Linked DNA regions of Cricetulus griseus. The protein of the gene in region 1 interacts with the protein of each later gene in a biochemical or structural test. Links are inferred from orthologs where the notes say so. Each region holds a gene or a part of one and is shown in the gene's direction. Other genes may lie near its edges.

Region 1 (6,828 bases):
CACGCTTTTTTTGAGCTGTGAGGGGGCGAGGCGGGGGCGGGGCTTCCGTCGCGGGATCCTAACCAATCGGCGCTCTCCGCTTCGTAAGAGACAGCTCCAGCAGCCAATCGGCCCGCCGAGACTCTTCCGGGGTTCGCTTTTCCCGCCACCGCGGTGGCGGCCGTTGCTGGCGGCGCGCGCGCGCGCGGGGTTTCCGTGGGTGAGTCGGCCGCCCGCGCCCGGGTTACCATCTTGATTCCTGCCGTGGCCACGCCAGAGGGGCGTGCCTGGCTGGGGTGTCACTGACTGGGCGGAGGTAGTTCGGGTTGTCGCTTCAGGGCCTCCCTCCTCTGCTAACCGCGGCCCAGGCGAAGGTTTGTTGACAGGGAATCTGTGGGCCGCCGGGTCAGCCAAAGATGGTCGCTCCTCACGGGGAGCAAGGGTCGTAGGCGTCGGCGCGGCTGACAGGACGGAGTTGACTTCCCTGTCAGCGGCTCGTGGCATCTTTATAGGTAAAAAAGAAAAGGTCTTCCCAGGCAGTTTTGAGGTTTTTGGTCGTCAGACTGTCCCTTCACGAGTAGCTCTCTGGCCTCGTAGCTCCCGAGAGAGGAGAGAGAGAGAGAGAGGAGAGGAGAGAGAGAGAGAGAGAGAGAGAGAGAGAGAGAGAGAGAGAGAGAGAGAGAGAGAGAGAGAGAGAGAGAGAGAGAGAGAGAGAGAGAGAGAGCAGGGTTTATTTTGGTTGAGGTGCCAGGTGCGCTTCCTCATTGTCAAGTCAATGAGACGGACGTGGTTGTGGGTGTGGGGAGATGCAGAGGCGGCTCCCCCGCTACCATCTGGAGTGTAGGGGAAAAAAAGCGTCTTGCCAGGGAGTTACATTAGGCAAGTTTGACTTGGAGCCCATCTATGTTGTAGTTTCTCCGCCTAAAAAGAAAAGAATAGTTTATACCTACAGGGTTTTTCGGAAGAATAAATGAATTAGACAAAGTATTAAAAATAGTTTGGCCCGGGTGGTGCTGGCGCATGCCTTTAATCTCAGCACTCAAGAGACAGAGACAGGTGGATCTCTGTGAGTTCGAGGCCAGCCTGATCCACAGAGTGAGTTCCGGGACAGCCAGAGCTGTTACACAGAGGAACCCTGTCTAAAAAGAACATCAAAACCTGGAGTTTGCACAAGGCCCTGAGTTTGATCCTCAGTAGCTCTCTGAGATCTGTGTGTCAGAGGTTAGAAGACAGTATATTTCATGTAGCAGTTTCTCAGCAACCCGTGCCTACACACGGGCCAGGCCTGGTTCTAAGGAAGGTGTCAGATCCTCTGGAACTGGAGTTATGAACTGCTGTGAGGGTTCTGGGAACTGAACCTCTTGAAGAACATGGCAGTTATCTTAACCACTGAGCCGTCCCTTTAACCGCTTAACTTGAACTTGCTATTTATTATTATTATTATTTATTATATTATTATTATTATTATTATTATTTTGTTTTTCTAGACAGGGTTTCTCTGTGTAGCATTGGAGTCTATCCTGGTACTCACTCTGGAGACCAGACTGGTCTCAAACTCAGCGATCCGCCTGCCTCTGCCTCCTGAGTGCTGGGATTAAAGGCATGCACCACCAAGGCCAGGCAATTTTATTATTATTTTTTATAAAGAGGTCCTAATATGTTGTCCCAGCTTACCTGGAACTCCTGGACTCAAGCAATTGCACTGCTTCAGCTTCCTTCAGCAGCTGGAACTGTGGACATACACTACCTCGATCCAGTTTATCATGCTTTTATATACTTTAAATAAAAGTACCCATTTTGGGGCTGGAGATATAGCTCAGTGGTAGAGCATTTGCCATGTGTGAGCCCTAGGTTTAGTTTCCAGTACCTAAAATCCCATGTAACATTCCTTTGTATATAATGTATATATAATGGTATACTTGGACCTTAATTCTTTGTCATGACCAAAAGTATAAATATACACATACATAATATTTTTGTTTTGTTTTGGGGAGCAAGGTCTTACTGTAACCAAGGGTGGTTTCTATACCCCACTCTTTTGAGACAGGGTCTAACTAGTAGCTCTGGCTGGCTTGGAACAGACTACATACACCAGGCTGGCCTTGAACTGACTCCTGCCTCCCAAGTGCTATAATCAAAGGCGTGTGTCACCCACCATGCCTGGCCAGGTCTCCAACTCTTAATATTCCTGCCTTGGGATTTCAGGTGCTGGAGTTACAGATATATGCCAACATCTTTTAATCAAAAGTTTTGTGTGTGTGTGTGTGTGTGTGTGTTGTTTTTAGACAGGGTTTCTCTGTGTAGCCCTGGCTGCCCTGGAACTCACTATGTAGAACAGGCTGGCCTTGAACTCAGAGATCTGCCTCTCTCTGCCTCCCAAATGCTGGGGTTAAAGGTGTGTGTCACCACTGGCTGGCCCCCAAAAAAGTTGTTTTTTTCCCATTGATAGTACTAAGTGTTGAACATATGGCCTCACATAGGCTAGCCAAACATTCTGTCACTGACATTCTTACTATCCATGCCCCACCCCAATATTTTTACATGCTTCAGAATGACAGAAAAGCATCACCTCATGGTGGCGCACACCTTTAATCCCAGCACTCAAGAGGCAGACACAGGTGGATCTCTGTCAATTTGAGGCCAGCCTTGTCTACAGAGTGAGTTCCAGGACAGCAGAGAAACCCTGTCTGGGAAGAAAGAAGGAAGGAAGGAAGGAAAGGCAGGCAGGAATCACCCCCACGTCACTCCACGTTCCTCCAGGGTTATCTCGTTATTTTTTCTCTACAAGTGTGTGTAAACCAATGACCAGAACAATGATAATGTGTTTCCCTCACAGGTCATGGAAAACACCCAGGTTATTGACTGGGATGCTGAAGAGGAGGAGGAGACAGAAATACCCAGTGGGTCCTTGGGGTATAGCTTGGAGCCTATAGGGCAGCTGCGTCTCTTCAGTAGTACTCATGGACCAGAAAGAGGTCAGGAGATATTGGGAGCTGAATGAGTATTGGGTCTTGTCTTCTCCTTAGAGGCAGTTGGATCATTGGTAAACCTTATGTATGTTTCTAAGAGGATAATAATTGTTGTACTAGGGATGACAAAGAGGCCACCTGAGTTGACTGTTCCAGGCGGGTACCCTGTACTTTCTGGGAGTGTTTTTCTTTTGTTAGGAGAAAATGAAGAGCTCCGAATAAAAATAGAATGTGGGAGCTGAAGAGATGGTTCAGGGACTAAGAGTGCTTACTGCTCTTGAAGAGGACCTGGTTTAGGTTTGCAGCACCCACATGGTGGTCAAAACCACCTGTAGCTCTGGTTCCAGGGGATCTGATGCTCTCTTCTGACCTTGGGTACCTGAACATATATGGTGGACATAAACTCATGCAGGTGCACACATATACATAAATAATGAGTAAATAAAAAATTTATTTATTTTGAGACAGGGTTTCTCTGTCTAGCTCAGACTGTCCTAGAACTCAGAGCGATCTGCCTGCCACTGCCTCCTCCTGAGTGCTGGGATTAAAGGTGTGTGCCATCACTAAAGGGCATAAAATTTTTAAAAGGTAAAATACATTGTGGCCTAGAAATGGATATGTAACACAACTGAGCAGTATACTTACAATGATTGCGATGGTTAGATTTATATTGTGTGTATTGTTTTTCTTCGAGACAGAGTATATATGTAGCCCTTGCTGTCCTGGAACTCACTATGCAGACTGGCCTCAAACTCACAGAAACCTACCTGCCTCTGCCTTTCAAATGCTAGAACTAAAGTCATGTGCTAATATGCCCAGCCTATATTGTGTATTTTATTACAATAAGAAACTCCCTTTGGGCATGGTGGTGCATGTCTGTGATCCCTGTACTCAGGAGGTGAGGTTGAGGATAACCTAGGCCACATAGCAAGTCCGAAAACAATCTGGGTTACATAGTGAGACCCTGGATCAAAAACAAAGCAAGGGCAGTAGCTCAGGGAAAGAGTGCTTAGCTAGCATGCATGAAACTGTTTTCGGATCTGTTGGAACAATACCGATGAGGTGAGTAGATAGAATATTACAGCAAAGTGATGTATTGTGAATGCTCTTCTACGCTGGTGTGCCCATTGTTCTTAACCCTGTGAGAGCTTTGAGTGAGCAGTAGGTACCATCTTCATTCAGGCCAGGACTCTGCCCTTACTCTTTAATGTTTCTTCTTCTTTTTTTTTTTTTTTTTTTTTTTTTTTTTTTAAGACAGGATTTCTCTGTGGCTTTGGAGGCTGTCCTGGAATTAGCTCTTGTAGACCAGGCTGGTCTCGAACTCACATAGATCCACCTGCCTCTGCCTCCCGAGGGCTGGGATTAAAGGTGTGTGCCACCAACGCCCAACTTAATGTTTCTTCTTGATCCTTAGATTTCCCACTCTACCTTGGCAAGAATGTAATTGGCCGAAGCCCCGACTGCTCTGTGGCCCTGCCTTTTCCATCCATCTCTAAACAGCATGCAGTAATTGAAATCTCAGCTTGCAACAAAGCCCCTATCCTCCAGGATTGTGGGAGCCTCAATGGCACTCAACTGGTAAAGCCCCCAAAGGTCCTAACCCCTGGAGTGAGCCATCGTCTGAAGGACCAGGAATTAATTCTGTTTGCAGACTTTCCCTGCCAGTACCGTCGCTTGGATGTCCCTCCACCTTTGGTCTCTCGGGGACTTCTAACTATAGAGAAGACCCCCAGAATACAGGGAGGGTCCCAAACCTCCAGAGTTTTGTTGGCTGAGGATTCGGAGGAGGAAGTAGGTAAGTTTGTGCCTTGGGTGTATGTGTGTGAAGAGACAGGAATGAGGGTGTAAACTGTCAATTTATTTCTTCCTGTTCTTGCCAGATTTTCCTTCTGGAAGGTATGTGGCAAATGGATCAAGGAATCCAACGTCTCCATCAGCAACAGTAGTACCAGAAAGGTGAGTAGCAAAGTACCAGATGCCTGGATCTTTTGTTTTGTTTTGTTTTTAAACAGTCTCTGTAGCCCAAGCTGGTCTTAGACTCCTGGCAGACCTCTGGGTTCAGTATCAGGATTGGGACGATAGGGTTGAGCTTCCTTAACTGGTTTTAGACACCTCGGCCTTTGAATAAAGAGTCGGTCTTGAATAAATGAGGTGATTATCTTGACAGGTGGAGCCGAGAGCCTAGGCATAATTACTTCCTCAGCTGAATTAAATTATGAAGAGTACTTGTGGTGTGCTCAGTGGGGATGGGAAGACACCTGGCAGCAGTGCCTGCTCACTCTCAGGGCCCTCACAGCGGAGTGGGGTGGCCTATCCAGGGAGTACATTCTGTGGGCTCTCTGTCTTTGCAGTGATGAAGAGGGGTCTTCTCCAGCCCAAAGTGTCCGTGGGCCGTCTTTGCCCTTTGACTTGGGCAGTGACACAGATGAAGAGCTATGTCCACAGCCAGCAGTTGGGGAGTCCTCTTCAGTTGCCAGGGATGGTGCTGCTGCAGAGGCCAAGCAGCTGGAAGCTAATGGAGTGACATCTGGTATCCAGCTGGTACTGGCTCAGCCTGCTGAGCAAAAGCTCAGAGATGCAAAAGTCAAGAGTGAGGCTGGCAATGGAGCGGCTGTGGTTGGGAGGGGCTCCACTGTGGGTAAGGACAGCAACACGGAAATGGGTGAAGAACACCAGCCTTCCGGCTTTGTGGACAGCGATACAGACGTGGAAGAAGACAGGATCCCTGTGACCCCCCCTGTAGTTCCGGGGAAGAAGCAAGTCCTGCTTGGAGTTGGTAAAAAGGACCCTGGAGCACCTGTCGTGACCCATCTGCAGGACAGCCCAGCTGGTCGTGGCACAGGTGTGGAAGAAGGCAAGACTCCAGTGGCTGGCCCTCCAGAGAGAAACCACACGGCCATGGTGATCAGCAGCGACACAGATGAGGAAGATGGAGTCTCAGCAGCAGTCACCTTGGCCCATCTGAAAGACAGGGGGATGGCTCTGTGGAGCAGGGAGCCAGGCATGGAAGAGGTCAAGTCCCAACCACAGGTCCTCGTAGAACGAAGCCAGAGTGCCTCTGGGAAAGACAGTGACACAGACGTGGAGGAGGAAAAGAGAGAAGTGGTCCCTGACAGCCCCATGGACACAGATGAGGCTCTTACTGTCCCACATTCAGAGAGCCAAGCTCCCCATAGAGCCAGTGATGATGTAGACCAGGGTGTGGATATGGGCTCCCCTGGTGGTCAGCTAGAGGGAAACCAGGCCTCCTCTGCCACAGTAGAAGACAGTAGTGCACAAGCAGGGAAGGAAGTCCTGCCTCCTGAGGAGGCCTGGGAAACAGCTGTGGAGGAAGGCTCATCTTCAGCAGCGGCAGATGTAAGACAAAGCAAGCAGCCAGGAGTAGAAGATGCTGGGACAGAGTGGGCTGCAACTGTTTGTGAGCAGGCGAGCATGCTTGAGGTGGGGGTCCAAGGCAGGTCACCTGCTACACTGGTAGAGCCAGTGGTGGTGCCTACAGCTACTCTGGGGGATCCCACTCAGCCACAGAGAGAGGGAGCCCAGACCCCCACAGGAAAGGAGAGAGGAGTACAAATGGGCAGGACCAAGAATGCCAAAGACTGCCGTGATGGTAAGTGCTGCTCTCTGCTCTGCCCTTGACCCCTGAAGTAAACTGGCTGTAAGAGTCAGGAGAGAACTGTAGAAGTCTGAGGGTGAGTTGTCATTCTGTCTGTCTCTTATCTCCTCAGCAGAGTCTGAAGATGTGTGCCTTCCGGCTACCCAGTGCTTTGTAGACAGGGAGGGCCAGAGCTCAGAAGGTGAGGACCTTGTGTTGTTTGGGTCATCTGAGTGCCAGTAAGAGCCAGGGGATTAGATTGGCAGTCCTAGAAAGATGGTATGG
Region 2 (5,883 bases), on another chromosome or scaffold:
CACGCCATCCCCTGCCCTCGACACCGCATACCCAGGTAGCCGCTCTGGGGCTCCAAAGGGTCATTATAGCTTTTTACTTGGGATAGCTAAAGCCAGCCAGTCCATCTCCTATGTAAGAGGAAGTGGAGGAAAAGAAGGAGTAACTGTATGTGGGTCGTCCGTTTTAGTTTATGAAGCACATTTACTTACATAAAGTGTGATGCTTACAACAGTTCCCTTCACCCAGATGTAAGCAGCTGAGCCAGAAACAAATCTCAGTGCTAAGTGTCGGTCCTCTTACTAACCGCAGGTTGGAAGATGATTCAGTCACATGGTACCATCTTCCCTTTACAGACTCAATCCGAAGACGGGCAAACTGGAGATGAGCTATTCCAAGTTCAAGACCAAGAACCTCTCTTTCTTGGGCACCTTTATTTTAAAGGTAACAAGGTAACAAGGAGGTAAGGCCCCAGGCCACCATCCTTCACTTGAGAAAAGGGAATCCCTGGTCTTTTCAGACCCGAGGGGAGTTTGGAAACATCAAGAAGATCCCCTGTGGATGAAATGTGTAACTGAAGTTGTCTTCACCTCTGGCCCCTCCAGGTAGCAGAGCGCCTCCAGCTAGTGACAGTTCACCGAGGCGAGAGTGAGGATGGTGCCTTCACTGAATGTAACAACATGACCCTCATCAACTTGCTACTCAAAATCTTTGGGCCCATACATGAGAGAAACCTCACACTGCTCCTGCTGCTTTTGCAGGTAACACTGAGGGTGGGGTAAATTATGTAAGTGTTCTTATCTCAAGTTCACCTTGGTTCTTATTCCAGTCCATTTCTCCTTCTAGATCCTGAGCAGCGCTGTCACCTTCTCCATTCGATACCAGCTTGTCCGACTCTTCTATGATGTCTGAGTTCCCTGAAGACTGACTGCCCATAGCCTCCGTTGGACCTCACCCAGGACCAACCTGTCTGGTCCAAGACTGCCTTCTGGTCCAGGCCTCTCCAACTGTTGGTTTTTTCAGTTTTGTTTTCAGCTTCTCCCATCACCTGTAATGATTATTGGCCTGGACCTTATTGGACTTTAAAGTCCATTAGTTGCACTTTGCCCCTGGCTTTCTTCAGCTTGCTACTCTTCCCCTTTCTGTCCCATCTGCAGCACCATAAGGGGGATGTAGCAGCTCTTATGCAAATACAGCTCAACTTTCAGAGCCCTGCATTTGCTGGACCTTGAGAGAGAACCTGGGCTATGTGCTAGAGTTAGGGCCCTATACTCCAAGGTAACCTCACATTTGACTTTAAAATTAAGTGTTCTGATTAGGAAGATCAGAGGCAGGGCCATGTGCTCAAAATGGTGACAATAAAGGATTGTCTTTTACTTGCTTCTCTCCCTCAACCTCTTTTTCTAGCCTTTGAGATACTTGAGGACTGAACTCTTTTTTTTTTTTTTTTTTTTTTTTTTGGTTTTTCGAGACAGGGTTTCTCTGTATAGCTTTGGAGCCTATCCTGGCACTCGCTCTGGAGACCAGGCTGGCCTCGAACTCACAGAGATCCACCTGCCTCTGTCTCCCAGTGCTGGGATACAAGGCTTGTGCAACCAACATCCGGCCTGAGGACTGAACTTTGTTAAGTGCTCTACCACTGAATAAATCTATACATCTATCCCCTATTTATCTTTCGTATGGGCATTTTAGGATCGATTGGAAGGGTTGGGGTGGGTACCCTTTCCAAGAGAATACCTACCTCTGTTCCATCAGACCCCTTCCTGCAAGAAGTGACAGAACTGAAACCAGACAGAACATGTTGAATAAATATTAAAATACTAACTTGTCGTAGCACAAAGGATCACAGCACTCAGTTTTCTGGCATAGGATTGTACTCTCAGGTTTCATTTCTTCTCCTTTAAACCCTCCCTTTGCCAAATTTGAGGAGGGCGTGGGAGTGCCCCTGACCTGGAAGGAGAACTCTTTCCCTTTTTAACTTTTGTTAAAATGTTTTTCGAAACAGGGTTTCCCCTTGTAACCCTGGCTGTCCTGGAACTCGCTTTGTTACCAGGCTAAGCTTGAACTCAGAGCTCCCCCTTCCTCCGCTTCCTGAGTGCTTGAATTAAAGGTGTGCACCACTATCGCTCGGCTAACCCTTTTACTTTAAAACCCTTGGCCGGCCCAGATTTCCCAGAGACAGTCATGCGCCTCCAGACTCCACCTTCCTAGTCTTCCGGTTCTGGTGGCGCGCAATAGCGTTTAAATTTCGCGCGCTTAATAAGGATTGGCCACTTCCATGGATGATTAGCCTGCTGTTTGCGGCCACTCCGCCTTGCTTTCTTCCCCGGGTAAAAGGTTTTCAAATTGGACCAATCGCTGGGCGAGCTCTTTTCGCCTAGGCGCGTCACCGAAGGGTTAATTCCAACCAACCAGAGGCCGGTACTGGGGAAAAGAGCCAATCAGGGGGAGGCGGGGGCGTGTCCATGGAGTTTATAAGGGCGAGCTCGCCCGCGCGCGGCGACAGTTGACTGCGGCGGTTGGCAGTTTTCTTTCGTCGTCGGTGTTGCTCTCTGCTTTCTACCTCGTATACGATGTCGGGTCGCGGTAAAACCGGAGGCAAGGCCCGCGCCAAGGCGAAATCGCGCTCCTCGCGCGCCGGTCTACAATTCCCGGTAGGCCGCGTGCATCGGCTGCTGAGGAAAGGCCACTATGCCGAGCGCGTGGGAGCCGGCGCCCCGGTGTACTTGGCGGCCGTGCTCGAGTACCTCACCGCTGAGATTCTGGAGCTGGCGGGCAACGCGGCGCGGGACAACAAGAAGACGCGCATCATCCCGCGCCACCTGCAGCTGGCCATCCGCAACGACGAGGAGCTCAACAAGCTTCTGGGCGGCGTGACGATCGCTCAGGGCGGCGTCCTGCCCAACATCCAGGCCGTGCTGCTGCCCAAGAAGACGAGCGCCACCGTGGGGCCCAAGGCGCCGGCGAGCGGCAAGAAGGCCACCCAGGCCTCTCAGGAGTACTGAGGGAGCCCGCGCCCTGGCCGCCCAGCCCTCCCCACACCTCCACAAAGGCCCTTTTAAGGGCCACCACCTCCCTCACGGAAAGAGCTGAGCCACTTAGGGCTGCGGGCCGGGCCGCCGCGTTCCCATTCTCTTCCCCTTTCTCTGCCATCGCGCGTTTCTGCCTCCCCTTCCCTGCACGGCCTCCGGGTCAGGCGCCGCGGTACTTATCCATCGCGGAGCTTCGCCGGTCTCCGTCTCGATGGGCCGCGCGGAGAGGTTGCGACACCTTCCAGAAGTGTCGGCCTTTTGCTGTGACGTACGGCTGAGGTGGGCCTGAAGGTGAGTTACTCTGCAGCTGCAACCCGGGCGTCCTTTCTTCAGCTTGGTGCTTTAGCCCTCGCCTGGACCTTCCAGAAGTGACTTGATTACCAGGCTTTGGTGAAGAGAAATGGATCATATTGTTTGGTCCTGTGTTTTCCCCTTCGTTGGCCTCATACCAGTTTACCCCATCTTCGTTCATCGGCCGGTGTGTGGTGTGGCCGGGACAAAATCACTGTAATATGAGCTGGTTTTCTCCAGGATGCCTCCTGGAAAGGGTTTGGGAGAAGCTTACAGGCCTGTGGACAGAAGAGCTGTGTTCTTGCCGCAGGAGACTGGCAGCCGGGCCTAGCTATCCCCTTTTCTTCCCAGCGACTCAATTCACAACCCAAACACCTAGATACCAGCACAAGTCGGTGAATCCCTATCTGGACTGAGCCTCTACTGGCTTCTGAACTGGAATTTTGCAGCTATCCCAAGTTTAGAACCTTAGGTAGTGGGGAGTTTCAATGGGCTAATTTTATTAAATGGTTGTTCTGTTTTTTTAAAAGATGGAGTGTCTTGATTAATTTCGAATTGCTGTAGGCCCGGGGTTGGGGTTCTATAGCTCCGTGGTAGAGCCATGTACCTGGCATGTGTTGTGTTGGGAGGTGGGAGTGGAATTGTAAGTTCCCTTAGAGCAGTGGGGATGGGCAAGACTGTAATACAAGTAGGTTCTGTTAACTGAAAACAGGCAGGCTGTAGGAATTGAGGCAGTTTTCTCTTTGCTCGGTGCTTCCTGGGATGCATTCTGAGAACATGAGGCAATTAGAAAGTATTTCAACAGAGAAGTCCCAGACTCAGAATTCAGGTTTAAAAGGGCTTTGGGTTTATTTATATTTTCCCCAATTCCACCAAAACAACCACATTGAGAGCTGGTTTAATATTAGTGGCATTGGTTACATTCGAGATTGGCACTGACTTTTTCTAAAGAGATGAAGCCCTAACTACTGAGGAGGAAAGGCGCAGTCATCAAGGCCCCAAGGTGATTCGTGTCTCTGGAAGTCTCAACACCCTGTGGTTCAATCTCCTGGGCTAGTCACCCTCTCCAAGTTAGGGAGCACAGAGCACTTGAAAGCCAGATGTGGGCACTAGAAAGTGGCAGCCAGGTTCCCGTAACCTATAGACCAGTTAGTGCACATCATTAAGCTGCCGTGCAACATCCAGGATATTCTTGGCTCCTTTGTTAAGCAACAAGCTGGCCAGGCTGATGCCCAGGTTTTCAGCAGCTAGCTGGGCTCCTCTTGGAATGTTCCGGGCAGTGATTCCAACTAGTTGGGGGTCGTCCTCTGGACCATCTTCATGCTGCATGACACAAGAGTTACAATTTGGTGAGAGGGAAGATGATACTTCTGTTTATTCCTCCCTCATCTCCCAGTCAGTACCTGCACAGGGACCTGGATGGTAGTCTGCATGGTCTCTTGCATGCTATCTGAGCCGTCTAGGCTCCACACTCCTCCAGTCAGGTACAGCTAGGACACAAAATGGGTTGTACCGGCATATTCAGGAAAAGTTGCTTACATGTTTGGGCGCACACAGAACTGGCACAGTGCCTCCCTTCCCTCATCCATCTCTGCTGCTTACCTGCCCATCCCTCATCATGGTATGTACTGCTACTGGGACACTGCAGCCTCCTTCCTGCAATGACAGTCCTTTGAGCTCTAAGGGCCTTTAATACTGCTTTTTGACCACAAACCTCTAAGGATATTAACTGAAAAGGCTGCTAGGACCAGACCAAGGTCCACACTTAGAAAACAATTCCCCAACTTTTGAGCTACCACTACATCTCCCTGCTGCCCTTCCTGATTCCAGGTCCTCCTCACACCACCATAGGAGAAGCCCAAGTCTTACCAGGTGCCTCAGAAAGGCCCGTTCAGCAATGCAGCGAAGCACAGTCTCAGGATCATGCAACACACTCACTAGATCCAAGATATCCTGGTCCTTGGCTCGGACTTCCACTGCTAGGGCTCCCTAAAGGAAAAACAGGCCTAATCTTTCTCCAGTCATGGCTGAACATGGGAACCACTCCTACTTGCTTCCCAGAGTCTTCTGCTTGCCAAAGCCTGCCCCTCCCTGAATATTTTATTTGATCAGAAGTACATGCCAAAGCACAATGGCACTGAACCCAGGTTCTTGAAGGGGCACATGAAGAAAGCCCTCTCCAGGCAAACTTACCTGACCCACAGCATACATACATTCCTCTGGGTGCAAGATCTGTGGAGGCAAGACAGAACAGAAAGAATGGTGGGCTGTCCCAAAGCAGTGAGCTAAGGGAAGCCAGGGGGATGAACTCTCCCCAGCCTGGGCTTACTTCTTGGCTTGTAGCGTTATTGGCAGAATGGTCATAAAGATAGCAGGAGAGAGAGGCATATTAAAATGGAAATGGAATGGAGAAGCCCCTACCTGCCCCACCCGGTTCTGCCAGCCCATGCGCTGTAGGCCAGCCACAGCCAGGATAATGGCACTGAACTCTTGCAGCTCATCTAGCTTCCGTAGCCGTGTGTTGAGGTTTCCCCGCTGTTGAGATGCTAAGGAGAATAATGACCATAGTACATCCTCTTCCCA
Region 3 (6,589 bases), on another chromosome or scaffold:
GATGGCAACAGGACAGGATTTAAAGTAACCGGACCATGGAAATGAGCCTCTGGGAATGTCTGGGAGGGAGTTTTTTTCTTTCTTTCTTTTTTTTGGTTTTTTTTTTTTTTTTTTGGTTTTTTTGTTTGTTTGTTTTTGTTTTTTTTGTTTGTTTGTTTTGTTTTTCGAGACAGGGTCTCTCTGTGGCTTTGGAGCCTATCCTGGCACTTGCTCTTGTAGACCTGGCTGGTCTCTAACTCACAGAGATCCACCTGCCTCTGCCTCCCGAGTGCTGAGATTAAAGGCGTGCACCACTGCCACCACCACCCAGCCAGACTCCATTTCCAAGGATGGCTGGAGCTGATGGGGGACCTCAATGGTAGTGTTTGCCTAGCATTTGCAAAATTATGGGGGTGGGGAGAAATCAATGTACCAGGTGGTGGTGGGGGATCAAAGATGACCCACCAATCCCTCTCATTGCGCATATCTTTTGCAGAGTTGCTTTGCTATTCCCTCATCAAGAGATGGAGCATGTTTTCCTGGTAAATCCAGGCTGATCCTGTGTCTTAAATTGACCAACAATGGATTTGACTTTCAGATCTAGGCTTGAAGGGGCCTCAAAGCTTCTGTTTTCACTGACTTGCTTGACAGACACCAATTCAAGCTAGGATAGGCCACTGACTGGTGAGCAATCACTGTATGAAGAAAAAGGTTTTGTTGGGGAGAATCGAGAGGCCCAGATATTAGCAAGACCTTAGACTCACGGGTAAAGTTGTCCTCCAATTCTAGCTATTTCAATAACAACTCTAGTTATGTCAATGACTTAGGTCTTTGGGATGTGACTAGAATATCTGAAGAATTTCATTTGGTTTAAACTGAACTTTAAATAGTGAGCAACTGTTATATAGGCCAGCACGGATGTTTATTCCCACTCTAATTCATCCAACACAATCCCATTAAAAGAACAGGGCATGGGCCGGCTGGAAATTGCCTTAGCACCCATCTTTCATGGGACTAACAAGTATGTAGGCAATGTCTGGAGACAGTTGGATCTATTAGAAGGAAAGGGGGACGAGGAAAAGGATGGCTACCATTAGATGACTAACCCCCAGCATCTCTAAAATGACAATGCTAACTGTATCATCTGTACACAATGTGGAAATGAGGGGCTGGGGGACTGAGATTGATTGATTCCCAGAACCAGGACTGGTGCCAGCGGTAGTCTGAGAGGCTGAGGCAGGTTTTAAAAGTTCAAAGACAGCCTGGGTACCTTCAATACTTTAAAATAAAAACAAAACAAAAAAAAGTAACAAGAGGGCTGGAGATGTAGCTCAATTGTTGATCACTTGCTTAGCCTACCAGTAATGAGAGGTTAGATCCTCAGTATCCAGGGGAAAAAGGAGATTTCCAGTTTCACATCTAGCTCAGAGGAGTCCCAACAGAAAGTTAACTTTCAGAAGCTTTCCTTGTCTGACGAAAAGGGAGATTTTAATAGTTCCTTTGTTTATTCTGAGGATGTGGCCAAAAAGCAGACATTAAACCCTCTGTTAGTGTTTGTAACTACAGCCATCATTTAAATCCCTATTTCCCTATTTACTTCCCTCTTCTCTGAAGTTGAAGTTTTACATCACCCAGAACAAGTTGCAAATAACGAAATTCTCAGTTACACTGATTTTTTTTTTTTCAATTATGAGCCAGGGTGTCAGGTAGCCCAAGCTTGCCTCAAACTCGCTATCTTGTTCTTAATTATCCTGTACTCTAGATACTTCTGCGTCCGCCTCCCAAAGCAGGAGAGCAATGTTTAGGTGACACTGGCGATCACCCCTAGGGCTTCATGCATGCTAGGCAAGTACACAGCCTAGGCGTTTTTGTTTGCAACAGACCGTATCTCTTTGAATACAGGAATCCTATATATTTGGGGAATGGCAATGTTCCAATTATCCCTCGATTTTCCTCAGAGGCCTGAGTAGGAATTCCAGGAGTGGATAATGACCTAAACTCAAAAGACTTTATTGAATTCAGCCCCAGACTAGTATTTTACCCCTCGCTGAATCTACCGTGCACAACAGGGAACGGCGGAGGCGCTTACCCCGACCAACAGTCCCACAGGTAACTCCGGCCGGCCGGATCCCTCCCTCCAGGCCCATCCTACTAGTAGCTCTTTGGGCGTGGCCCAGCTAGCGTGGCCAATTGGGCGTGGCGTGCGTAGGGCGAAGGCGTGGCTGAGAAGAGGAACTTCCGATTGGGCCCAACCCAACAACTTCCGGTAGCACTCGCCAATTTCCGGCCACAGACTCCGCCTCCGGAGGCTCACCTCGAGTATTTCCGACATCTCTCGGGCTTTTCCGTCTCGCTCTCGTTTGGCTCTCTCCACTTCGGGTATTTCCGTGTCACGCTCGGAGGAGTTCGGCAACCACTCGGCCTCCCCCATCCCCCGGTAACGGTCGCTGGTGAGTTTAAATGAGCCGGGGCTGGCCGGGCCGGAGTCGCTACGGGGGGGGCCTGAGGCACTGCAGAAAGTGGGCCTGAGCCTCAAGGATGACGGTGCTGCAGGAACCTGTCCAGGTAATACTAGCGCCTGCTCCGAGGCCTGGCGCCATGCCTGGGTCGCAAGCGGCGAGCAGCCACTCCGCGGCCTGCTGCGGCCTAGGCCCCGCTTCTCCCGCCTCCCTTTCGGCGAGCCCCCTACCTGTCTTTCGTCACTCCCGAGGCCTTGCCCGCGGCCTCAGCCGAGGTTAGCCCCGGCCCCGCATTACTTCTCGCCTGTTGTGCCAGCCGGGTTCGGCGGGAATCACTCGTTTCCGTCGGTCCTGGCGTCCGGCCATCCCCCTCTTGTTGGTCTGGGTTCCTGCCCGCGGTGGGAGACGAGGGGCCGCCCGAGACGGCGCTCCGAGTGCTCGGCGTCCCGGGGGTCGACACAGAAGCGCTTTTGAGCCGAGCTGGTGGGATTTCACACCCGTGGGGCAAGTTTACTGGTGTTTCCTTGCTTTTGTTTTACGTGAGGTGGTCGAAGGAAGACGTAAAATTACCCGTATTTTCGGTACTGGTTTTCGTTTCGGGAGCAGACTTTCTTGTCCACGTTACAGTTCTCCGTGGATTTCCCACCGGACAATGACGACCTGAGAAGGGAACTCCCAGGCCCACTGCTGCGGGGCAAACACCCCAGCAGGGGAGTGGACGAAAGGGCAGGTCTGGATTTTTTCCATCACCTAGGATGGGTATCAGGAGGCATTTTACCGTGCTGATTTAGAAGGTGTTTAGGAAATTAGAGATAATTGCTTTCCCATCCATTTCACCATTCGTCCATTCCTTAACCACACCAAGGTATGCATTGACGCACACGGTGCTGTTGTCAGAAGAAAGCCTATTGGGTTTTGAAGTATGTGATGCAGTGCCAAGTCATTTTCCCCCCTGCCACATCTGAAGAAACTGAACCTATTGTCCTTTGGTGGTGGACCAGGTTTGGGAGATGTTTCATTCCACCGTATGATCTTTGACATGACCACAGTTGGCCTCCATTAAATTACAATCATTAAGCCATAAGCTATTTTGAAGTTATAAATCAAACCGATTTTAGAAATTGCTGCGAATTGCCTTAGGTAAGACTGACAACAAATATTTAATATTTCAGTACGTCAGTACAGCATTTCCTTAATGTCTCATCGCAGCCTAAAATACGGTTTCCCTAGTTGAACTTCATCTCCAGATGTTTACATGGTGACAGCTATTAGTATTTGAATTAATATAATTCTGGATTATATCTTCGGAACTGTACATAAAACATATGTTTGTATGTTTTTTGTTTTATTTTTTTTGTTTTATTTTGTTTTTCAAGACAGGGTTTCTCTGTGGCTTTGGAGGCTATCCTGGAACTAGCTCTTGTAGACCAGGCTGGTCTCGAACTCACAGAGATCTGTCTGCCTCTGCCTCCCGAGTTCTGGGATCAAAGGCGTGGGCCACCACTGCCCAGCCCATGTCTCTGTATGTTGTATCAATTCTTCCAAAGCTGCATTTCTTTCCAGATTTCTCTTCCTAGTGTAGAGTCCCTTAAAAGGCCCTTTTGAGGCCTAACATGAAATTAAACGGATAAGGAGGTTATTCAGATAATTAGTTTTTATTTCATATTGTAGTTTTGTCTTACTTTTCTGCTTTTCTGGAGCCAGAAGGCTTCTAAAGTGATATGATAGTTTACAGCATGTAAACTACTACTTAAAAATTTTTAACTTCTAGAAAACCATGAGAGTGTAGAATACATTGTTTAAGCAAGATAGAATCCAGCAGGTTTCCTGTTTGTTTTTAAAGTACTGTGGAATTTACCTCCCTCTCCTCCATAATAACTTTTTCCATTAGATTTTAGGGTAATTGTAAGAAGTTTTGGGGTGTGAGGGGATGAGAATAATTTATAGTTGGCCGGAGGATCAGGAGTTCAGGGTCATCCTTGGCTACAGAGCAAGTTCAAGGCCAACATGGGCTATCTGAAACCCTGTCTCAAAAAAAACAAAAAACAAAAACAAAATAACAACAAAAGGAGCAGTTAGCAGTGGGAGAAATTAGCTAACTTTGAGCAGGAATGCTGTTGAAAATGAGAAAGAGCTAGTATGAAAGAAAAAAGTAAAGAGATGCTAAGATAATTGTTTTAAGAATTGTTCATTCCATATATCAGGATGAAAATAGTGTTGAGAATATTTTCTTTACTTTGTTCCTGGTGATCTAGGCACAGGAAAAAGTTGACAGAAATAATGCACAACTATTTGTTCCTACCCCCCTCCTTAAAATTTTTACCCAGTGAAATGTGCCATATAGACTTAAATATAAGCCCCTCCCCAAGTTAGCACTCATAGAAAAAACATTGCTTTATATTTGAGTCTTCTGTTTTTTGAGACAGGGTTTCTCTGTGGGACAGTTCCAAGCTGTCCTGGAACTTTCTCTGTAGACCAAGCTGGCCTCGAACTCACTTGAGATCCACCTGCCTCTGCCTCCCAAGTGCTGGAATTACAGGCACCTGGCTTTATATTTGAGTCTTTACAAAATAATCTTTGATATTTCAAAGCACAGATTGATTTTTGTGGCAGTCTCACTGTGTAGCCCTGGCTGGGATTAAAGGCATTCACAGTACTAATTTGGGTGCCTGTAAAAGTGGCATTTTTTTGTTGGTATGGTGTCTTGTTTAACTTTCATTTACTGTGTGTACATGTGTGTGTCAGTCAGTCTTGGTGACAAGTATCTTTATCCTCTGAGCCATTTCACTGAAAGCTGTTGTTGTTTTAAGAGGCAGGTGTTTTATATAGCTGCATCAATTGATAAAGCTGTATCAATTATTGCTGTAAGTGAAGCTTCACAGATGTATTGGATGAAATTGTAGACAAGCCTTTTGAAAATGATTTTACTGTGCAATAGAGGAACTAGATGGAAGAACCTTGCATGCTAATCTGCATCTGAAACTCCAACTAGAGGCAGGAAGATAAGGAGTTCAAGGTCTGCCTGAGCTACATAAATCCATGTCTCAAAAACCAAAACAAAATAAAGGAGTTTGGGTATTATCCATCCATAATTCATGTCATCCTTTTAGAGGTTTTTTGTTGTTGTTGTTGCTTTTTTTGTTTGTTTTGTTTTTTCGAGGCAGGGTTTCTCTGTGGCTTTGGAGGCTGTCCTGGAACTAGCTCTTGTAGACCAGGCTGGTCTCGAACTCACAGAGATCCTCCTGCCTCTGCCTCCCGAGTGCTGGGATTAAAGGCGTGCGCCACCAACGCCCAGCTTAGAGTTTTATTTAATAGTGAAAGAGTACTTTTGACTTGGGATAAGATGTCCCCAAGTGTCACCTAATAATGTTTCAAAGAGTACCATACTATGGCTGCTACGTGAGAAGCATCATGGTCAAGAGAAGCCTGTCGTCTTAGAAGCAAAGGTATCTAGAGTAGCAGTGGAACAGGAAAAGGGTAGATAAAGGTTTTAGAGGTAGAAATTCAGGAAATAACTTGGAAAGTAGAACCATTGAAACATGGGGAGGGGATTGTCTTCCTGGAGTTGGTATCAAAAATGACTGCCTGAATTTTATTTCAGTGGTGCTGTTTAAAAAATGAAAAATCCAGCTGCTTGTGATGACACATGCCTTTTGATCTCAGCACTTGTGAGGCTTGTAAGGTCAAGGCAGGTAGATCTCTGTTCGTCCAAGGCCAGCCTGTCTACATAGTGAATTCAGGCTAGCCAAGGCTGCATAGTGAGATGCTGTGTCAAAACAATTCATAGCTCCCCCAAGCTAAAACTAATTCCCTAGAAAAATAATAAATGCTTTTCTACCAGATAGGATTGGGGCAGATTCAAAAGAAGACATTTAAGAATTCTGTTTTGGCCTGGTGGTGATGAACACCCTTAATCCCAGCACTTGGAAAGCAGAATCAGGCAGATCAGCCTGGTCTACAGAGTGAGTTTCAGGACAGCCAGTGCTACACAGAGAAACCCTGTCTCAAAAAAAAAAAAAAAAAATATGTTCTGTTTTGAAGAAAAGAAGTTGGAAATAACTTGTGAAACTATGGAGACATAATTCCTCATCTTGGGTTCTAGTCCTGAGAACATGAAGAATGATTAGCAGGAACAATTGGATGTTAACTAT
Region 4 (6,093 bases), about 28 Mb from region 1:
GGCTGAGCAAGCAGGTCAGCAAGCAGCACCCATCCATGGCTTCTCCCACCAGCTCCTGCCTCCAGCTTCCTGCCCTGATTCCTGTTCTGACTTCCTTTGATGATGAACAACGATATGGAAGTATAAGCTGAATAAACCCCTTTTTTGCTTTTTGGTCGTGGTATTTCATCACAATAGTCATCCTAAGACGTCGTGTAAATTAAATATATTGAATTGGTAAGGTTAGGTTATTTTTTTGATAAGCTATATATTTGCAATTGAGGGGCAAACATAGTTTCTGCTCTTGGAGTTTATGGAGTTTCTTTTTCTTTTGGTTTTTCGAGACAGGGTTTCTCTGTGTAGCTTTGGAGCCTTTCCTGGCACTTGCTCTGTAGACCAGGCTGGCCTCGAACTCACAGAGATCAGCCTGCCTCTGCCTCCCAAGTGCTGGGATTAAACGCGTGCGCCACCAACACCCGGCCCAGGAAAGATTATTTCTACAATGAAGGAGTCTGTGACCTTTATAGGTTGGCTAAGGTGTGGCTTATTTAGTGATATTCTAGAGCAGGTCCGGTTTTAAATTGGCAGGCGTTAGAGAGCTGCTTATTTTTACATGTGTGTTGTTTTTTCACCTGCTTTACCTAATCTGATCCCTGAACATTCACTAGTCTGTCTCAACCCTGTAGGGAAACTTAATCAAGTGTTGACTTACTCATTGAGGCTCAGTTCAGTGAACTAATCTATTACTTCTGAATAGATTGGCAGTCCCGGGGTAGCAAGGGCAAGAGGACTACAGGTTCTACATGGTGCCATAGTTCTTACGGGATCACACCTATGGAGAGAGAGACCCGCACAAACCAAGAGAATGCCGGTCAGGGTGAGGATTGACCCTCCTTGGCCTGTGTATAAGAGAAGCCTGCCTGGTGATACGCACGGATGGACCCTCATCTGGTATCGAAGGGAACCCTTTAGTAAACTATCTGTCCGAGTGGGTGAAAGGGGGAAGGAATGGTTAGCGGACTTCCTGGTTATTCCAGAGACAGAGCCCTGCAGAGGAGGGGGCTAGGGAAGACGGGCAGGAACAAGGGGATGGTCTGCGTTAACATCAGGGTGCTTCATGGTTGTTAATGGAGCAGTGCCGAGGGAGTTCTTAGGGGGCTGAAATAGAACCATTGTATTCTAGGACTGGACATTTCTCCTCTGGATGCTAAGTCAGGGACAGTTTCAGAACAAGGTGCTCTCCCAGTCTTCTGTACTGTGTTCCCCAGTGGCAGCCAGGCTGTTTCCCCTCAAGTGGAATATGGAATGCTTCCTCTAAAACAGCTACTGAATCTGGGAATGGTCAGTGAATGAGGATGGTATCCCTGAAGATCCCCCCCACCACACTAGTCCTTAGACCTGCACATTCTCCATTGAAGAGTTTGCGTGCTGTGGTGGATATGTAGAGGTCAGGACAACTTCAGGAGTTCTCTGCTCCACTGTGGGCCCCGGTAAGAGATGATCACACACAGAAATGAATCGGGAAACAGACCCGAATCTCAGAAGACGGTCACTTCTTTCCCTACAAGTTTATGATTAGATAGGTCTGCCAGGAAGTGTGACGAGTGGGAACCAGAGCTTTGTTTCTGTCTTCTACAGACCCTCAAGCCGTTGCTGTGGGTAAGTGGGGACCTAGGGTCAAGGAATTTGGTTGGTAGACTTTGCAAAGTGGGCATCCATGTGCGTATGGGTGCCTGCAGGGGCCACAAGAGGGCACTGAATCCGGATTTGGAGTTAAGAGCTCTCTCTAATCCCCATTTTATTTTATTTCCTTATGTCTTGACTGGAAGTTCAACATCAACTGTCGTGTCAGTTTCCTGGAGACTAATGCTAAAGGAACATTATGTCTGTCTGTCTGATGACAGATTTAAAGAGTTAAAGTCTCAATGAGGCAGTGTGCTAGTCTGAACAAGCAAGATGAAAATGAACAGAAACCAGTGTCAGGTCCTCCATATGAATTCACATTTACCAACTCGTCATAGTAATTTGGGGGAAGGAAGGATGGAGAAACAAGAGTTATTTCTCAGGCCGAGGACACTGTGGCAGTGTACTGGAGCGCCATGAAAGTCAGACCCACACATCAGTCGGTAGCCATGCCTAGAACTGGGAAAGTGGTCCATGACTTGACTTTGTAGACCAATTTAAATTGATTTTCTTAAATAACAGCTATCACAATAAACACAGGCCCTGGGGACTCAGGTAAAATGGCTGGGAACAGAGGGCCAGGAATAGTGACTTGGAGGCTACTTCACAGCTGTGTGTAGAAGGAGATTGGAGATTTCCTGATGGACTCGGGGCAGAACCAGGGCCAGCTAGAAGAATTTCCAGAGAAAGGGATGCTAAGCTGGGCATTTAAAAAGCCGAGACCTGTCTTACTTGTGTGATGGATGGATGCCAGTGTTGAAGACAAACCGATGGGAATGGGATGGTAGAAGTGGATGACTGACCGACCGTTCAGGGCTGTGGTAGCCTGAGAATTCATATCAACTCTTCCTTATTTTAAGTGATTATTTTATGTGTATGCCTGGTGCCTGGGGGTGGGGGCAAGAGGTAACACTATAGCAGAAGAGGGCATCGGGTCCCCTGCAGCTGGGAATTGTGGATGGGTTATGAGCCACCATGTGTCTGTTGGGAAGACAAACCTGGAAGAACAGCCGTGCTCTCAGCCACTGAGCTCTGTCTCCAGTCCTCCGTGGTTAAGTGTTGCCTTTTTCTCTCTGGTGGCTCCCTGTGGCCGCTGAGGAGGGAGAAAACAGTGGATGAACAGTTGAGGCTCCTCAGATGTCTGCTTCCCTAAGTCAGGGCCTGCGTGCTGCTGGTTGGTAAGACGGTGAAGAGCCTCCCTGTCTATCATAGTGACTGACTGTCTCTCACGTTGCCTCTGTCTTTCAGGTGACTATAGGACGAGGATTTGGTGTCACCTACCAACTGATGTCAAAGGTATGCCCTCTGATGATTTCCCGGAACCACTGTGTTTTGAAGCAGAACCCTGAGGGACAGTGGACAATCATGGACAACAAGGTACTGGAGCCCATGCGAGCCTGATGGCTCTAGTGAGGGTTATGTACTTGATTTATTTATTTTTGGTTTTTTGAGACAGGGTTTCTCTCTGACTGGAACTCACTCTGTAGGCCAGGTTGGCTTCCAACTCCCAGAGATCTGCCTGCTGCACATCTTTAATCCCAGAAAAATTTACTTTTCTTGACACCTGATAGTTGTTCTCATATAATATTCAGAAGTGTAGCCACGCCCACCTGTTCTCTTTCTAAGTGCGGCACTTCTGTGTGCTGCAGGAAGTTAGATTGTGCAAGATGATTGCTAGTGACCTGGAGCGAGGGCTAAACCGCCAAGAGAGAGTCTAGAGTGGAGCTGTGGCTCCTTTTCCAAAAATTAGACTATATTTCTGGAGAAATTAGCCCCTTTGAAAGGCAGCAGTCAAAGATTCTGGGAATCTGCCTAAGCTTATGGGGGACGGGAGACCTGGGGCAGAGAGAGAGAACCCCTGCAATGCACTGCTTTTTGCCTTCAGTACACACACACAGACCTCCACACATCTCCATACAAATACACGTGCACACACTACACACACCCGCAAACTTATACACACATCTACATACACAAGACACTCCTACATGTACCCCCCCACATACACGGACACACCCCTACACACATACACACCCAGGTCTCCATACACACCCCTACACACAGACACACACACTCTCCTCCACACACATACACCTACACCTATACACACACCACACATATCTACATACACACCCCTGCACACAGACACACCTATATGCACCCCCCACACACACACACTCTTTCTCCTCCACACACACACACATCTGCATACACACCCCTAAACACAGACACACCTACACACCTATACACCTACCTCTTCACACACACCTACATATACATACATATACACACCCCTACACACACACAAATACACACACATTTTCTCTCCTCCACACATACACAAACCCCAATGTAAACTCTCTCTCTCTCTCTCTCTCTCTCTCTCTCTCTCTCTCTCTCTCTCTCTCACACACACACACACACACACACACACACACACACAAACACACACGCGCCTTTAAAATAAACCCGCTTGGGGCTGGAGAGATGGCTCAGAGGTTAGGATCCCCAGCACCCACATGCAGCTCACAACTGTCTATACCTCCAATTCCAGGGGACCCGATACAGACATACATTCAGGCAAAACACTAATGCTCATAAAATAAAAAACAACACAAAACAAAAAACCTGCTTAACTGTTCGTGTTCTCAGAAACATTTTACTTTGAATAAAGGCTTTTAATATCTTTTTAGATTTATTTTATTATTGTATTACTTACTTGCATGTGTGTCTGTGTGTATTGTATGCACATTTGTGCACAGGTGCTTAAGGCCAGAAGAGAGGTTTGGGTTCCTCAGAGCTGGAGTTACCCACAGGCGCTTGTGAGATGCCCCACATGGGTGCTGGGAATTGCTCTAGGGTTCTCTGGAAAAGGAGCAATGCTGAGTCATCGTTTGTTCCCTTTAAATGAAATTTAAAGTTGCCAGTCCAGTGGGAAATATACAGAGTCCAGCAGTTAGGAAGCCCCTAAAGTGCAGATGTCCAGGCACCCAGGGATACAATGGAAGTAGACCATGGGATGGGGGCCTTTATTTTTAATGGGGGTCTTGTTATGTGGTGTAGACCAGCCTCAAACTCATCTGACACTCGGTGATTTCTACCTCTGTGCTGTAGAATCTGGCATCTCAAGCCCTATGAGTGTATTTTGTGACTAAGTCTCACTGCTTGGAGTAGTAGTTCTGCAGGTCTGCTGGCATTAGCAACAACCAGAGTGGCCCTGACTTCTGTTTGCTGTTCTAGCCCTTACCCGGCAGACTTGGCTTTTATGTGTGTGGGAACTCTGTCTCTGTATTAAATGTCTGTGTACGACATGCATGCAGAGCCTGGGGAAAGCCAGAGGGAATCAGAGTCCCTGGAACTGGAGTTACAGATGGTTGTGAAACTCCTTATATGTGCTGGGAATTGAACCTGGATCCTCTGCCAGAGCAGCCAGTGCTCTAACCCGTGGGCCACCTCTCTAGCTCTGGCCGAGGACATGGTTCAGTAGGTAAAGCACTGGCCACACAAGCTCGAAGACTAGAATTTGGCTCCCAAAGCCATGTAAAAGGCATCCGAAGTATCGAGTGTCTGTGGTCCCTGTGCTCCTATAGCAAGTTGGCAGGGAGAGACCGCCTCACACCGAAGTGGGGTGGGGGTAGGGGGATGATGACAGGAGGACCCCAGAGCAGCAGGTATGAAACTGTCTCACACCAAAGCGGGGGAGGGGGGCTGCACATGACTTAGACACATTCAGTGGTAGTATAATAAAATTAAGGGTTTCTATTCTTCAAAAGATAGCAGTAAGACAAGCACAACCCAGAGTGGAAGTGTTTGCTGTGCACATAACTGATGAAATATGATCATGTACGTACAGAGAGCTTCAAATCAGATTTTTTAAAAAGACAGATATAACCCAGTTTCTAAAACAGACTAAAAGACAGGCACATCACAAAAGAGTGTACCAAATTCTACTCTATAGCCACGAGAAGTTGTTGGAACTCAGTGATGAGGGAAATGCAAATCAAAACCACGAGGGAATACACTGGCTAGGATAAGGAATGAGTACAAGCATCTTTCCTCTTTGGAGGGAAGGTAACTTGACACACCTACTTTGAAATCCATAACTCATTCAGTTGTACATTTTATGTTTAGAGCTCATTTCTGTCTCTAGGAAGGAAACACTTGCAATGCCCACCCACGGTAGACTGTATAGAAGAAAGAGTATTTCTGCAATCAACACTGCTGTATTGAACATGGGTACTTCTTACAGACATGATACTGAGTGAAAAGGCTTCCCAGCAAGTTGCCAGGCATGCTAATATGTGCCCGTAGTCCCAAAATTTGGGAGGGTAGAGCAGGAGATTCCGTGCCAACCTGGGCTGTGTAGCCAGACTGTCCCAAAGAAACAAAGTAGGTGAGTTCAAATGTGACCAGCTGTGTGTGGCAGTGTGT
Region 5 (6,093 bases), on another chromosome or scaffold:
TAGCAGTTGTGCAATTCTTACTTTAAGGGTTATGATTTTAGGATCCATTTTTCCATTTGAAGTACACTCAATGGACAGACAGTCCTCTCTGTTCTTTAGTGTTCCTAAGGGTGTACATGGTACTTAGAACAGTTTTTTTGTTTGTTTGTTTGTTTTTGGTTTTTTTTGTTTATTTGTTTTTCAAGACAGGGTTTCTCTGTGACTTTGGAGGCTGTCCTGGAACTAGCTCTTGTAGACCAGGCTGGTCTCGAACTCACAGAGATCCGCCTGCCTCTGCTTCCCGAGAGTTGGGATTAAAGGCGTGCGCCACCAATGCCTGGCAGTTTTAAACATATATTATTGATGTGTGTATGAATGTACGATGTATGTTCATGGTGGTGCATACCTGTAATCCCAGCACAAGGAAGCTGGCTGTTACTACAGAGCAAGTGGAGGCCAACCTGGGATACATACCTATCTTTAAAAGAAAATGTAAAATGCAATTATTAAACCCAGTAACTACAGTTTTCTAAACATTACTATGTTTCCCTGACTTAAAGAATTAAAAAAGATCCCATTTCTTAAATGCAGCAGGTTTTAGAATTAAAAAAAGAAATGATATTGATTTTTAAAAATAAATATATACAGTCACTTTAAATTTCCAGTAGTGGGGGCTGGAGAGATGGCTCTGTTAAGATCACTAGCTATTCTTCCAGAGGACCTGGATTTAGTTCCCAGCACCCACGTGGCAGCTCATAATTGCCTGTAAGTCCACCTTCAGGGGATCTGACACTGTCATATAAACATACATTCAGGCAAAATACCAATGCACATAAAAATAAAATAGAGCCAGGCAGTGGTGGCGCATGCCTTTAATCCCAGAGGCAGGCAGATCTCTGAGTTTGAGGCCAGCCTGGTTTGCAGATCAAGTTCCAGGATAGTGAGGGCTACACAGAGAAACCCTGCTTCAAAATAGATAGATAGATAGATAGATAGATAGATAGATAGATAGATAGATAGATAGATGAAAGTAAAGATAACAAATATATTTTTTAAATTTCCAGTAGAAATATTAAAAAAAAAAAAAAAACTAGCTGGATATGTTGGTTGCATGCTATGCTGGCTAGGTTTTGTAAACTTCACACAAGTTGGGGGCATCTAGGAAGATGAAATCTCATTTAAGAAAATGGCTCCGTCCCATTGGCATGTAGGTAAATCTGTGGAACATCTTGATTAATGACTGATGTTGGAGAGCCCAGCCATTGTGTGGTACCTCCACTAGGCAGGTGGTCCTGGGCCATATAAGAAAGCAAACTGAGCAAGCCATGGTAAGCAAGCCAGTAAGCAGCACTCCTCTCTGATCTCTGCTTCAGTTCTTTCCCCGAGGTTCTTGTTTGAGTTCTTACCCTGACCTCTGTTGGTGATGGGGCTACAGCTGTAAGTTGAATAAATCCTTTCCTGGCCAAGTTGCTTTTGATCATGGTGTCTTAACACAGCAGTGTAGCACAAACTAGGATGCATGTCTATAATCTTAGCACTTGGGAGGTAGAAGCACAGGATGGTTATCTCAAGTTTAAAGCTGTACTCTTCCATAAAGAGACCCTATACAAAAAGAAGAAATTTGTCCTTGATTGATTTACTCAACAAATATTATGTATCTGTACTACCCGCCGACTTATGCCCTTAGATTCTGTAGTGACTTATTTAAAATTGTCTTTTTATTCCTTAGGCAGTCTCGACAGATAGTGCCTGATATCAACACAGAGCCCTCCCAGAACGAGCAGATCATTTGGGATGACCCGACAGCAAGGGAGGAGAGAGCAAGGCTCGCCAGCAACTTGCAGTGGCCTAGCTACCCCACACAGTATTCTGAGCTTCAGGTTGACATTAAAAAACTGGATGATTCTCCTTCTCTAGAGCCTGTGTACCATTCAGAAATTGCTGAGCAGGGTAATAAGAAATACCTGTTTGGGCCGGGTGGTGGTAGTGGCGGCAGTGCACGCCTTTAATCCCAGCACTTGGGAGGCAGAGGCAGGCGGATCTCTGTGAGTTCGAGGCCAGTCTGGTCTACAAAGCCAGTTCCAGGACAGCTAAGACTGTTACACAGAGAAAACCTGTCTCGAAAAACCTTCAAAAAAAAAAGAGAAGAAGAAGAAAAGAAAAAAAATATCTGTTTGTACTATATGCATGTTGACCTCTTAAAGATATTGTGGTTACCTGTATTGCACATGCAAATGACAAATTAAGATTAGTACTGTATAAATCAATTGAAAACTGTTTTTTGATCTTGAAATGTAGAAATTTAGGATTAGCCATTCTACAAACATGATTCACACAGCAATGCTTTCTAGCCTCTTTCTTTTAGGTAGTGTTTGGTCTTTCTCCCTGTAACTCATTTTTATTTAACTATCTGAATTCCACCCAGCTTATAGTGTGTTTGTTCTTTGGCTTTTGTGAGCTTTCCTAAGTTCCTTTTGTTTGTTTATTTGTTTCTTCACACTGGGTGTTTATCTTCCTGTGCTGGATGAAAGGAAGGGGTCACAAAACCCAGATAACACACTTGCCCTTTCAGAGCTGTTCAGTTGTGTTTATTTTTAACTTGGAGAAGTTGGCTGCTCTCTTCTTCATGTATTGCTTGTTTTTGAGGCAGGGTTGTACCTATGCAGGTTTTAAACCTTAGATTCTTTTGTCTCAGGCAGACACCTCATCTTAGCCTTTTTTGCATTGCAGACTTCATGGTTCATTATTTTGATCAAGACAAATCAGAATATTCTCTAGATTAATTCTAAATTACACCCACTATTACATGACATTTTCTTCTTCACCCTCAGCCTTGTGTGTGACTGAAGCCCCAGAACTCCCAATCTCTGATGAAGCAGAAACTCCAGCAGCGGATAAGCATCCAATCCCTGTGCCTCAACCTCCCAGCATTGCTTTCCCCTTGGCCAAGCCACCTGCAGCTCCACATCCTCTGGACAAGGTTTGTTGATCCTTGCTATGGTGGTGACAGCTTTGAGTGGTGTTCTCATGCTGGAGTAGCAATCCGTTCTCTGCATTAGCCTCGTCACTACTGAAAACTGAATTTCTTTGATTGAAATACAATTTATATATTTGTACTTTAGAAGAATGACTAAAATGTCACTATAAAATAGCTATACTGAAAATTTTAATATTTTTTCTAAAATGTAACTATTGCATTCTAGATTGAAAAAATGGAGAAGAGTCGTGAAAAACTTAAAAAACAGTATGTATTCCAGATGTCATCTCTGAATTCTCAAGAGCGGGTTGATTACTGTCACCTGATTAAGAAACTAGGTACCAGTATTTCACTTGTTTACAATTTTTTTTCTGCTGGTATTTTACTTTAAAACATACCATTATTATAACCATATTACTGGAATACAAATGCAGTCATACATCATGTGTAATGGGGAGACGTTAAGAAAAGAACATGGGTTAATTGAGTCCGCATTAGGGTTTTGATTTTATAAAGACCTAATCTGCATCTAAAACTACTAGGTCATGAGACCTAAGAATTTAAAGATTTAGCTGGGCCTGGTGACATGAGCCTCCCAGTACTCAGGATTCCTTCTCGGTGACATTACCCTTATCCCTAGCTATGAGACTTTTCCTCTGACACCTGGGATAAGCAAGCTGGAAGACCTGATGTGTTGTAGCTGGACTCCAATAGGAACAGGATGTGAGCCACCTGGGTCACACCACTCTGCCTAGTAGACACATGTTGGGAGCTGAGAAGAAATCGGTGAAAATACCTTTAAAAATATTTTTTTATTTTTAGTATATGAAAACTGTTACTCAGTATTTAATCAGCACAAAACACCAGTGAAATATTTTGTGGGGATTTTTTGTTTTGTTTTTATTCCTTTGAAATACCACCTGAATCTACACTAGTTTTTTTTCAGTTGTTTGATAGCTCTATAGAGTCAACATAGTTACTCTAAGACCTTGATCTCACAGCTTGGCATAGCAAAAGAAAACATTCAGAAATGACAGGCCTAAGCTAAGCATTGGTAATCTCAGCAGCTGGGAGGCTAAAACAGGATCTCAAGTTTGAGGTCAGATGGGGCTGCACAGTGAGACCCTGTTTGAAACAAAGGGGTAGGAGGTACTAGAACAATGGCTCTGGGTTAAGAGCACTGGTAGAGGACCAGGGTTCTAGTCCCAGCACCTACGTGGTGGGTCACAACCATCTTGTAACTCCAGTTCTAGTGGATCCAATGCCCTCTTCTGGCTTCCATAGGTATTGTACATCTCTGCTACTCAGCTATACATGCAGGCAAAACACCCATCCACATAAATAATAAAAATGCATTCTTTTTTAAATAAAGAATAGGACTGGGGGTAGTGTGGCTTAGTATAGAGTACTTGATGCATGCATATGAAGCCCAGAATTTCAAGTGTGCATGAGTTAGCACTGGAATTTTGATTTTATAAAACCTTAATCCACATTTCAAATCATTAGGTCATGGTGTGATAAAGGCAGAGATGAGGGCTGATAATTTGAATGTTACTTTTACATATCTATGTGCCAACATTTTTCATTTAGGTTGTTCATTTTATATAAGTAATTTTTAAGCATAGTTGAAATAACATGGTTTTCTAGAAGGATGGTAAGAAACCTAGTAAAGTAGAGGTTTTTCCTATATATTAATAAAATGTTCCCTCTCTACAAGGTGGGTCGGTGATTGAGAAGCAGTGCTCAGACCCCAACTGCACACACATGGTTGTGGGGTACCCATTGCGCAATGAGAAGTACTTAGCCTCCATGGCAGCTGGCAAGTGGGTGCTTCATCGTTCCTACCTGGAAGCTTGCAGGACCGCTGGGTGCTTTGTGCAGGTGTGTGTTCATGCTCCTAGAAAGATTGGTTCTTGTGTAAATGTCTCAAGAGATCCCTGCTCATACACTTACCATGCATATAATGTAAATGACCACATGGAGTCAGTCAGATTACACCAGCTGTGTAACAAAACAGAGTTTACAGGTCAGGCTGCATTACTCCCATTCTTTTTTCTTAAGTGTTTTGTTTGGTATACAAAAAAATGAGCTTCATTGTGGCCTACTAACTTTTTGTTATCTAATTTGTCAGTGTTTTTTATTGAAATGATATTCTCTTAACATGAGAAGATTCCAAGATATCTCATTATAAGCCTTTTTCTTACTGTTAGCTCATTATACATTAAAGTAATTGTCACAAACAGACCAGGACAGCAGAATCTACCCTGTGTTTCCTGAAGCTTCCGATCTGAGTTCTTTGGGAATTGTCTCAGTTCATGCTTCCTCTGACTATTCCCATGAAGCCAAATATCCTGACTATTACTAAGTTGCCAAAATACAGCTGTCTGGCCAGGGGTTTTGATTCTGGGAAATGAGTTTCTGGTTTTAATTAAAAGCCAGCTGTACTTGATTCTGTATTTTCTGTGTGTTCACAAAATGTTTAGTGTTCTCTGTATCTAACAATTGAATATACAGCTTTGATCTTAAAAGACTGAAGGCTTCTAAGAGCCAGAAGCCTGTGCCTAGCACCGTGCTCTTCTGGGTTAGAGGAACCCAGAGTTCACTGGCCTGCTTTTCTAGGAAGAAGACTATGAGTGGGGAAGTAGTGCCATACTGGATGCTCTCACTGATGTCACTGAACACCAGCAGAAACTAGCACTTGCGGCAATGAGGTGGAGGAAAAGAATCCAGCAAAGGCAAGAGTCAGGCATTGTTGAGGTATGAACATATATAATTATATGATGATTATATAGATACTACAAATAGGATTCAGTATTATGACGTGTTTTAAAGAGAATATGCTTGACCAAGTAATTCTAATTATCTTTTATTCCTTAATTGCTCTGTTTATTGTGCATTCTATGTTGAACTAAAATTTTAACTGTAGCTCTGCAAGTGCCACATGCTTTTAATTCCAGCACTTGGGAGGCAGAGGCAGGAGGATGTCTGAATACAGGACATCCAAGGCTTTGTAGAGAGATCCTGTCTCAAAAAACAGAGTATTGTGTTATACAGTAAGACATGGGTCTTCTAAAGTTAACTTGCCTTTTCAGGGTGTAGCATCAGGAGTCCTAAACTGGGTTCACAGATTCTCCCAA

The links.
Region 2: the proteins of Mdc1 (region 1) and histone H2AX form a complex in vitro, tested with the Homo sapiens proteins (5 studies listed by BioGRID and IntAct, with this or other methods). The link is inferred for Cricetulus griseus from reciprocal best matches to the Homo sapiens genes MDC1 and H2AX.
Region 3: the proteins of Mdc1 (region 1) and Cdc27 form a complex in vitro, tested with the Homo sapiens proteins (2 studies listed by BioGRID). The link is inferred for Cricetulus griseus from reciprocal best matches to the Homo sapiens genes MDC1 and CDC27.
Region 4: the proteins of Mdc1 (region 1) and Rnf8 form a complex in vitro, tested with the Homo sapiens proteins (2 studies listed by BioGRID and IntAct, with this or other methods). The link is inferred for Cricetulus griseus from reciprocal best matches to the Homo sapiens genes MDC1 and RNF8.
Region 5: the proteins of Mdc1 (region 1) and Topbp1 are reported together in a solved structure, tested with the Homo sapiens proteins (3 studies listed by BioGRID, with this or other methods). The link is inferred for Cricetulus griseus from reciprocal best matches to the Homo sapiens genes MDC1 and TOPBP1.

Annotation. Positions count from the first base shown.
Region 1 is NW_023276806.1:229,746,171-229,752,998, forward strand, and holds the start of Mdc1 (mediator of DNA damage checkpoint protein 1), read left to right. Parts: upstream 1-2,815; 5' UTR 2,816-2,818; coding exon 2,819-2,954; intron 2,955-4,362; coding exon 4,363-4,743; intron 4,744-4,828; coding exon 4,829-4,904; intron 4,905-5,299; coding exon 5,300-6,558; intron 6,559-6,676; coding exon 6,677-6,745; intron 6,746-6,828. UniProt on the Homo sapiens protein: Histone reader protein required for checkpoint-mediated cell cycle arrest in response to DNA damage within both the S phase and G2/M phases of the cell cycle.
Region 2 is NC_048597.1:156,020,434-156,026,316, forward strand, and holds histone H2AX, read left to right. Parts: upstream 1-2,469; 5' UTR 2,470-2,550; coding exon 2,551-2,982; 3' UTR 2,983-3,825; downstream 3,826-5,883. Other genes in the region: Dpagt1 (UDP-N-acetylglucosamine--dolichyl-phosphate N-acetylglucosaminephosphotransferase), read left to right, coding at 1-35, 334-421, 583-738, 824-889; Hmbs (porphobilinogen deaminase), read right to left, coding at 4,450-4,623, 4,704-4,790, 4,903-4,956, 5,170-5,289, 5,494-5,532, 5,722-5,835. UniProt on the Homo sapiens protein: Variant histone H2A which replaces conventional H2A in a subset of nucleosomes. Nucleosomes wrap and compact DNA into chromatin, limiting DNA accessibility to the cellular machineries which require DNA as a template.
Region 3 is NC_048600.1:117,571,827-117,578,415, reverse strand, and holds the start of Cdc27 (cell division cycle protein 27 homolog), read left to right. Parts: upstream 1-2,405; 5' UTR 2,406-2,517; coding exon 2,518-2,544; intron 2,545-2,668; exon of another isoform or gene 2,669-3,355; intron 3,356-6,589. UniProt on the Homo sapiens protein: Component of the anaphase promoting complex/cyclosome (APC/C), a cell cycle-regulated E3 ubiquitin ligase that controls progression through mitosis and the G1 phase of the cell cycle.
Region 4 is NW_023276806.1:258,076,684-258,082,776, forward strand, and holds part of Rnf8 (E3 ubiquitin-protein ligase RNF8), read left to right. Parts: intron 1-2,910; coding exon 2,911-3,039; intron 3,040-6,093. UniProt on the Homo sapiens protein: E3 ubiquitin-protein ligase that plays a key role in DNA damage signaling via 2 distinct roles: by mediating the 'Lys-63'-linked ubiquitination of histones H2A and H2AX and promoting the recruitment of DNA repair proteins at double-strand breaks (DSBs) sites, and by catalyzing 'Lys-48'-linked ubiquitination to remove target proteins from DNA damage sites.
Region 5 is NC_048597.1:211,573,932-211,580,024, forward strand, and holds part of Topbp1 (DNA topoisomerase 2-binding protein 1), read left to right. Parts: intron 1-1,708; coding exon 1,709-1,929; intron 1,930-2,810; coding exon 2,811-2,959; intron 2,960-3,182; coding exon 3,183-3,294; intron 3,295-4,673; coding exon 4,674-4,837; intron 4,838-5,575; coding exon 5,576-5,713; intron 5,714-6,093. UniProt on the Homo sapiens protein: Scaffold protein that acts as a key protein-protein adapter in DNA replication and DNA repair. Composed of multiple BRCT domains, which specifically recognize and bind phosphorylated proteins, bringing proteins together into functional combinations.